Linked DNA regions of Macaca mulatta. The protein of the gene in region 1 interacts with the protein of each later gene in a pairwise test. Links are inferred from orthologs where the notes say so. Each region holds a gene or a part of one and is shown on either strand. Other genes may lie near its edges.

The links.
Region 2: the proteins of CIBAR1 (region 1) and CBY1 interact in binary tests that used the Homo sapiens proteins (3 or more experiments, as listed by UniProt). The two-hybrid records come from large-scale screens. The link is inferred for Macaca mulatta from reciprocal best matches to the Homo sapiens genes CIBAR1 and CBY1.

The regions. Positions count from the first base shown.
Region 1 is NC_133413.1:104,121,274-104,124,327, reverse strand, and holds the end of CIBAR1 (CBY1-interacting BAR domain-containing protein 1), read right to left. Parts: intron 2,889-3,054; coding exon 2,769-2,888; intron 833-2,768; exon of another isoform or gene 783-832; coding exon 690-782; 3' UTR 551-689; downstream 1-550. UniProt on the Homo sapiens protein: Plays a critical role in regulating mitochondrial ultrastructure and function by maintaining the integrity of mitochondrial morphology, particularly the organization of cristae.
Region 2 is NC_133415.1:12,868,485-12,872,984, forward strand, and holds the start of CBY1 (protein chibby homolog 1), read right to left. Parts: upstream 3,009-4,500; 5' UTR 3,007-3,008; coding exon 2,892-3,006; intron 2,687-2,891; exon of another isoform or gene 2,047-2,686; intron 1-2,046. UniProt on the Homo sapiens protein: Inhibits the Wnt/Wingless pathway by binding to CTNNB1/beta-catenin and inhibiting beta-catenin-mediated transcriptional activation through competition with TCF/LEF transcription factors.

The DNA.
Region 1 (3,054 bases):
CTGTGATGAGGCAACATTCCACTAAATTAGCCTTCCAAAAGTTGCAGTATCATGTATAAGTATGACAGTTTTGTTTTAAAACCAGAGTCAGATTGAATGTGGCTTTTTTTTACAGCTGAAATGTATGCCTTATGTGTATTCATAACACATTGATATCTTAGTGTCACATTATCTTTATTCTTTGATTATACTCTTGAAAAGTAAATTTACTTATCAAATGATAAAGTTTTAAGGGAAAGTAAAAAAAAAATATTTTTTCTTAAGGCTTCATGGAATAGAATTACATGTAATCAGAATGACTACATAGGACCCTTTTCTGGTAATGAAAGCATGGAGTCTTAACCAAAAAGCTAAGCAGAATTGTTAGATCTTTTGGTTTCTGTCATAATGTACTATTGGAACTTCAAGTAGATATAGTACATTAATATGAAATACTTTGAAATACACCATCTTTGGAAAAAAAAGGTACTTACACAAAAATCACCTAACACTAGTTAGGATGTTGAAATGACTGGTATGTAATATTTTTTAAAGCCTTCATTTTTGGTCAGCATAAGTTTCCTTTAATTATTTTTCTGTTTCCAGTTGGACTTCACTTTGAGGCTTAACATATCAAAGTGAGTATAAAGTTCTATAGTTTAGTCATTGTGGATTCCATGTCATTTATGATGAAAATGGAAATGTGTAGTTTACTTAAGAAAATTTTCTTCTTCTGTAACATCTAACTCTTCATCCTCATCATCATCTGCTTGTTGATCCTTTCTTAGTCGACAAGTGGATACCTGTTAAAAGTCAACACACTTTTTAAAATAAAAATACTAACTTAAAAAAATTTTACATGCTTGGTATCTTTTTATGCTATTAAAGGGCACACAACAAATATTTCAAAAAAAAGTCCATGTCATAATTTTTAGTAGTGACAATTCCCTATGAATTTTAAGGTCAGAGGCCAGTTTTTTCATTCATGATATTTTTTGAATAAAAATGTGTAATTAGCCATTTGATTTTAGTTGGATAGCCATCAATACTTCAGAAACACTACTTTAAAAGTATAGACTTAGTATATTATGAATGTTAAAAATAAATTTTGGGTCACAAAAACAGCATTTGAGAATCATAAAATGGATGGCAAAAATAGAAGGATATTTCAGCTAGGCAGTGGGACAGAAATACTGATGTAAAAGTAGTGTGATTTAAATGGAATGAGTTGAGAATCTGAACTCACCAGTTTTAAGTTGCCTGACTGCTGCCACATAGGGCATGTTGCTTAAAACTTCTCTGAGAGTGATTGTATCTAACCCAGAGGACATTTGGGAATGTCTAGAGACACTGTTGTTTGTCACTATTGGGGCTGTGTGTTTATGTGTGCTGCTGGCATGTTGTGGGTAGAGGCTGGGATGCTAATATCTGCCTAATATTGTCACAATATACAGGACAGTATTCCATCCCCTTCTTCCTTCCTGGTGGGCCCAATTATTTGTCCCAAAGTCAGCAGTGTTGAGGTTGAGAAACCTGGGATAATGCATTCTAAAGTGCTATACAAGTGTTAGCTAAGGTAACATTATTAGTTGTAGTCAAAACCTTTTTTTTTTTTTTTGAGACGGAGTCTCGCTCTGTTGCTTAGGCTGGAGTGCAGTGGCCCAATCTCGGCTCACTGCAACCTCCGCCTCCCAGGTTCACGCCCTTCTCTCGCCTCAGCCTCCCGAGTAGCTGGGACTACAGGTGCCTGTCATCATGCCCAGCTAATTTTTTTTTTTTTGCATTTTTAATAGAGATGGGGTTTCACTGTGTTAGCCAGGATTGTCTCGATCTCCTGACCTCGTGATCCAGCCACCTCGGCCTCCCAAAGTGCTGGGATTGCAGGCGTGAGCCACTGTGCCCGGCAAAACTTTATATGGACTATAAAAGTAAATTTATAGAATTTATGTTCAAAGCACTTAATGCTGGAATAATAAAAATATAATTGGGTTGGGGGAGAGATACATATAAAACAAAATAAATGCTTAGAGGAGAATCAAATGAAAATAGAAGGTATGAAATTTACCTAAAAGTTGTATTTTGAAAATAGTTTGTTGAGTTGCATATTCTGAAAGCTAGATATGAAAAGGGCATAGCTCTCTAGATGAGGGTTTGGCAAGTTGTGGCCCAGCCAGCCTCCTGCTTTTGTAAATAGAATTTTATTAGAACACAGTCATACTGCTTTATGTGTTACTTATAGTTGTTATTTATAGTTGTTGGGGTAGAAACCATATGGCCCACAAAGCCTAAGATACTTAGTCTCCACATCTTACAGAAAAAGTTTGTCAGCCCCTGCTCTAGATACTGGGAAACTCAGGCTTTCTGGATGTAGACAAAAATGATTTTTGTGTTCAGTAAAAGCCATTTTTTGGTATAATTTGGTATTTAACTTTATAATTTAATCAGATCCACTAAGTCTTGATAGTGAGATTTAAACCTAAGTTTGACTTCAGAATCTATGCTCTTCATATTATAGAAGATAACACATCTGCATGAGCATTCTTCTGTCTTTTCCACTTCTGCTCTGAAGTGTTATGTTTTAGAGAGTAATATGTAATTACAGTATAAAAGATACTTAAGAAATAACAGAGCTGCAACTTAGTGCAATCTTCTGTCATTATAGAAGAGGAAATAGGTCCAGGGGAAGGTAAATTACCTGAGGTGGTATGACTGAGGGGAAACATTTTTAGAACTCAACAATTCCAAAGGCAGCAGCTCAAATTCCTTTAAGAGTATGGTTTCTTGCTCACCTGTCCTGTTCCAGATACACACTTAGCTGACAGTGATCTCTGAAGAGGTGACTTTGAATTTGCTCGTACAATATCTAAACGAGATGAATAATCTGGTGCATACAGAGAATTTCGGAAAACCTATTATAATGATAAAATAGCATTATAAAGTAGATGCTAAACAAAAGACAGTCAAATTAAGTTCCTTAGTTTTTTGTTTTTTTTTAAAACAACTGCCCCCAAATGGACAAAATTCCAATTATTGTAAATGTAAAAGAAAAAAATAAGCTAGAAAGATAAAAGCTAA
Region 2 (4,500 bases), on another chromosome or scaffold:
GCGTGAGCCACTGCGCCCAGCCCAATTTACTATTATTTCTTAATGATTAGTGTTCGTATTCTATTTTTAAAATGTTTGCCTACCCCAGGCTGGGTATGGTGGCTCATGCCTATAAATCCTAGCACTTTGGGAGGCAGAGGCAGGCAGATCACTTGAGTCCAGGAGTTCAAGACCATCCTGGGCAACATGGCAAACAAAACCCTGTCTCTACCAAAGATACAAAAAATTAGCTGGGCGTGGTGGTGTGCGCCTGTGGAGGCACACGGGAGGGGCTACTCAGGAGGCAGAGGTGGGAGGATTGCTTGCACCCAGGAGCCAGAGGTTGCAGTGAGCTGAGATTATGACACTGCACTCCAGCTTGGGTGACAGAGTGAGACTCCATCTCAAAAAAAAAATTCGGGCCAGGCACGGTGGCTCAAGCCTGTAATCCCAGCACTTTGGGAGGCCGAGACGGGCGGATCACGAGGTCAGGAGATCGAGACCAGCCTAGCTAACACGGTGAAACCCCGTCTCTACTAAAAATACAAAAAACTAGCCGGGCGAGGTGGCGGGCGCCTGTAGTCCCAGCTATTTGGGAGGCTGAGGCAGGAGAGTGGCGTAAAACCTGGGAGGCAGAGCTTGTAGTGAGCTGAGATCTGGCCACTGTACTCCAGCCTGGGTGACAGAGCGAGACTCTGTCTCAAAAAAAAAAAAAAAAAAAAAATTCGTTATAAAGATGCATTTTCATTCATCATATTGGCAAAAATTAAAAAGATGAATAATACCCATGGTTGATGAGGATGTGAAGAAAAAGACACTGTTATTACTGGTAGAATCAGAAGATGCTATAATTCTTTCAAGGTCACTCAAATAAAACTTGGCAAAATTGTAAATGTGTACACTTTTTGGACAGCAAATCTACTTCTAAAATATTACACTCTAGAAAGACTTGGACATGCTCACACCCCGTGTTCTCTATTGTTGATAACAGTAAAAAATAAGAAACAATCCAAACAATTTGGGTGTAGCCAAATAATTTGTGGCACATTATTATAATAAAATTGTAGGCCTAAGCTGGGCGCGGTGGCTCACACCTGTAATCCCAACTACTTGAAAGGCTGAGGCAGGAGAATCGCTTGAACCAAGAAGGTGGAGGTTGCAGTAAACCAAGATCGCGCCACTGCTCTCTAGCCTGGGTGACAGAGCAAGACCCCATCTCAAAGGAAAAAAAAAAAGAAAAGAAAGAAAGATCTAGAAGGATACACCAAATTGCTCATAGTGGTTAAACCTGAAAAAGGGAATAGGATGACTGGCTTGAATGAAATTGTCATTTTATAGATCAAAAAAAGGTCAAATTGTGACAATTTCATATGGTACAATATAAAATTATATTAAATATACTCGAGATTTAATGAATTATTACAATGAGAATATATTCATGTATTATGAACAAAATAAACAAAACACAGTTAAAAAGCAGCCCCCCGCCACCGGGCGCGGTGGCTCACGCCTGTAATCCCAACACTTTGGGAGGCCGAGACCGGCGGATCACGAGGTCAGGAGATTGAGACCATCCTGGCTAACACGGTGAAACCCCGTCTCTACTAAAAATACAAAAAATTAGCCGGGTGCGGTGGCGGGTGCCTGTAGTCCCAGCTACTCGGGAGGCTGAGGCAGGAGAATAGCGTGAACCCGGGAGGCGGAGCTTGCAGTGAACCGAGATTGCGCCACTGCACTCCAGCCTGGGCGACAAAGCGAGACTCCATCTCAAAAAAAAAAAAAAAAAGCAGCCCCCAGCACTCATAGCACCTAGAGACATTTGAAGAAGGAGAAATAAGCCAAGTCCCCACTGACGCTAATTGCACTGGGCCTGAGCACATGGGCTGGACACAACCAGGTTTCGGGCCTGACTCTGCCCCTCAGTTGCTTGCTAGACCTTGGTCCAGCTGCTTTACTTCTCGGGCTTTAACTGGGGTACTTCACTCATGACCGCACTAATTCTCATAACACTACAGCTGGGAACTGTCATCTATATATTACAGATGAGGAAGGGTCTGGATTAGCTACCTTTTAAGTCAGATCTAATAATCCACAAACAGCTCGGCTGAGATCCTGGGATTCTGGGGCATCCGCGTGCACTTGAGGTACAAGCTGTTCCCTTGGCCGATGGCGACCTTCTTTCTAGTGAAACTCCGGGGGGCGAGCGTGCTCGGCACAAAGGAAGTGAAGGGGGAGCACCTGGCTTCCAATGATCACTCTGCTGCTCACCCACAGTGCGACCCCAGCATTTATCCTCCTTGGGCTTCGGCTTCTTTCTTTGCAATGAGGAATAATAATAGTACCTGGCTCACAAGATGTTATAGTGTTTTAGTGTTTATAAGAAGCTGTGCACTTGATCCTCACAACGACCCTGGGAAGAGGATCAAGTAAGTGGGGCCTCCCTAATCCACAGATACTGATCACTAATCATTGTGTAAAGGTTTTCTGTTTGCAACAGGCCATGAAATATATTATCTTACTTTAATTCTAAGAAAACAAGGGAGGAACCTTTGGCTTTCATCGGATTCTCAAAAGTATACGTGTCCCCCAAGGAGTTCAGAGCTAGCCATGTTACGCAGGTGCACGGCCCCCAGGGCTGTCGGACTCAAGTAACAGCTGTCAACAAACGTTCACACGCACGATCTCATGCAATCACCTTCACGGCGACCTACGGGGAGGAATTACCGCCCCAATTCACAACTGCGGAGACACACAGAGGAGGGCGGCCACCGCCCGGGGTCGCCAGGCCTCCGCCCCCTTCCCCGCGCCCTCCCGACGCCTCTCTCCAGGCGAGGCCCGGGCGTCCCACCCAGCTCGGGCCCCCACGTGAACCCAGGCCGTGCTGGCCGGCGACGCCGGACTCGGAGACGTACCTGACGCGTCCCAGAAGCCAGGGTCCAAGCGCTCCCCGAAACCCCCGATCAGGGACTCTGTAGTACAGATATACCTTGACCCACCCGCCTCCTGCCGCCAGCCCGCCACGCGCATGCGCCACCCCGCCCGGCCTCTACCACCGAGGAAAGGGGGCACCGGCGCGGGGGTTCCCAGCGCCAGCCTGCGCGAATCCCCAGAAACTCCGTGAATCACCTCGGGATAGTAAACGGATTATACAAAGGCAGTGTCTTCCGGGGTCCTTTTCGTGCCTCCCATTACAGGCTAGGACCACGACCTGCACTCACCCTCCCCACAGACACATTGGTCTGGGCCCCCGGCGGGGCTGTCACCATGGAAACGGCGTCTAGCGGACAACGCGGCGGCTCACGACGTTTCCATTGTTATGGGAAACGCGAAAGTGGTGACCGCGCCGGCGTTGCCTGGAGAACGCCTGGAGTCAGAGTAGCAAAATGGGCCTCTCCCCAACTCCCCTCCTCCTCCCTCAGCACAAGGCAAAGGGCACCCCTTGCTGTGAGTTTGGGGCACCGAGTGTCGGGGGCCCACCCAGAACTTTGCGGGATCCACTGAGGGACCCGTGGCGGGACCGGCCCCGGGTGCGTCAAATTCCGCCGATGCTTTCAGGTAAGATGGACGGACAGACGCACCATGACCCACCCCTGGCAGTCTGCCCCCTCTCCATGCCCTTATGGCGGCTTCTACAAGCAAGGGAAGCCGAGGCCCAGGGATTACTTAAAAGTCGCACTGTGAGCAACGGACAGAGAACTACTGGACGATCAACTCCAGGCCTCCTAGAGTCCTAACAGCGTGTTATTGGTTCCATCTCATAAGTGAAGAAACTTAGGTCGTTCAAGGAGTTTACCGGCTGCCTAGTGGGTGTACCAAGGCATCCATCTAGTGAAGGGCAGGACCCAGGGGTCTTTGGCTCCAAGCGCAGTTCTCTTCCGACTATACCACCCTGCATTAAAAGAGGGGAGACTTCCATGTCCTAGAACTAAAATCTTCACAGTCTGGCTCAGCATTGTACAATAGAAACATAAAGCAGGCCACATATGTGATTTGGAATTTTCTAGTAGCCTCATTTTTTAAAAGTTAAAAAAAAAAAAGCCAAGTGAAATTAATTTGAGTAATGTTTTAACTCCATTTGTCTAAAACATTACTATTTCAAGATATAATCAGTATTTCTAAATTTATACTGCTTCCATTTCAAAATTTATTTATTTATTTATTTTTAAGACGGAATTTCACTCTGTTGTACAGGCTGGGGTGCAGTGGCGTAATCTCGGTCTCTCGGGTTCAAGCGATTCTGCTGTCTTAACCTCTCGAGTAGCTGGGATTACAGGCGCCCGCCACCACTCCCAGCTAATTTTTTGTATTTTTAGTAGAGACGGGGGTTTCACCATGTTGGCTAGGCTGGTCTCGAACTCCTGACCTCAGGTGATCTGCTTGACTCAGCTTCCCAAAGTGCTGGTATTACAGGTGCAAGCCACTGCACCCAGCCAAAATTTGAATTAATTAAAATTAAAATTTTACTCTTGGCTGTTCTATCTATGGAGTAGCCGTTCTTTTATTGCTTTAAAAAATTTTTAC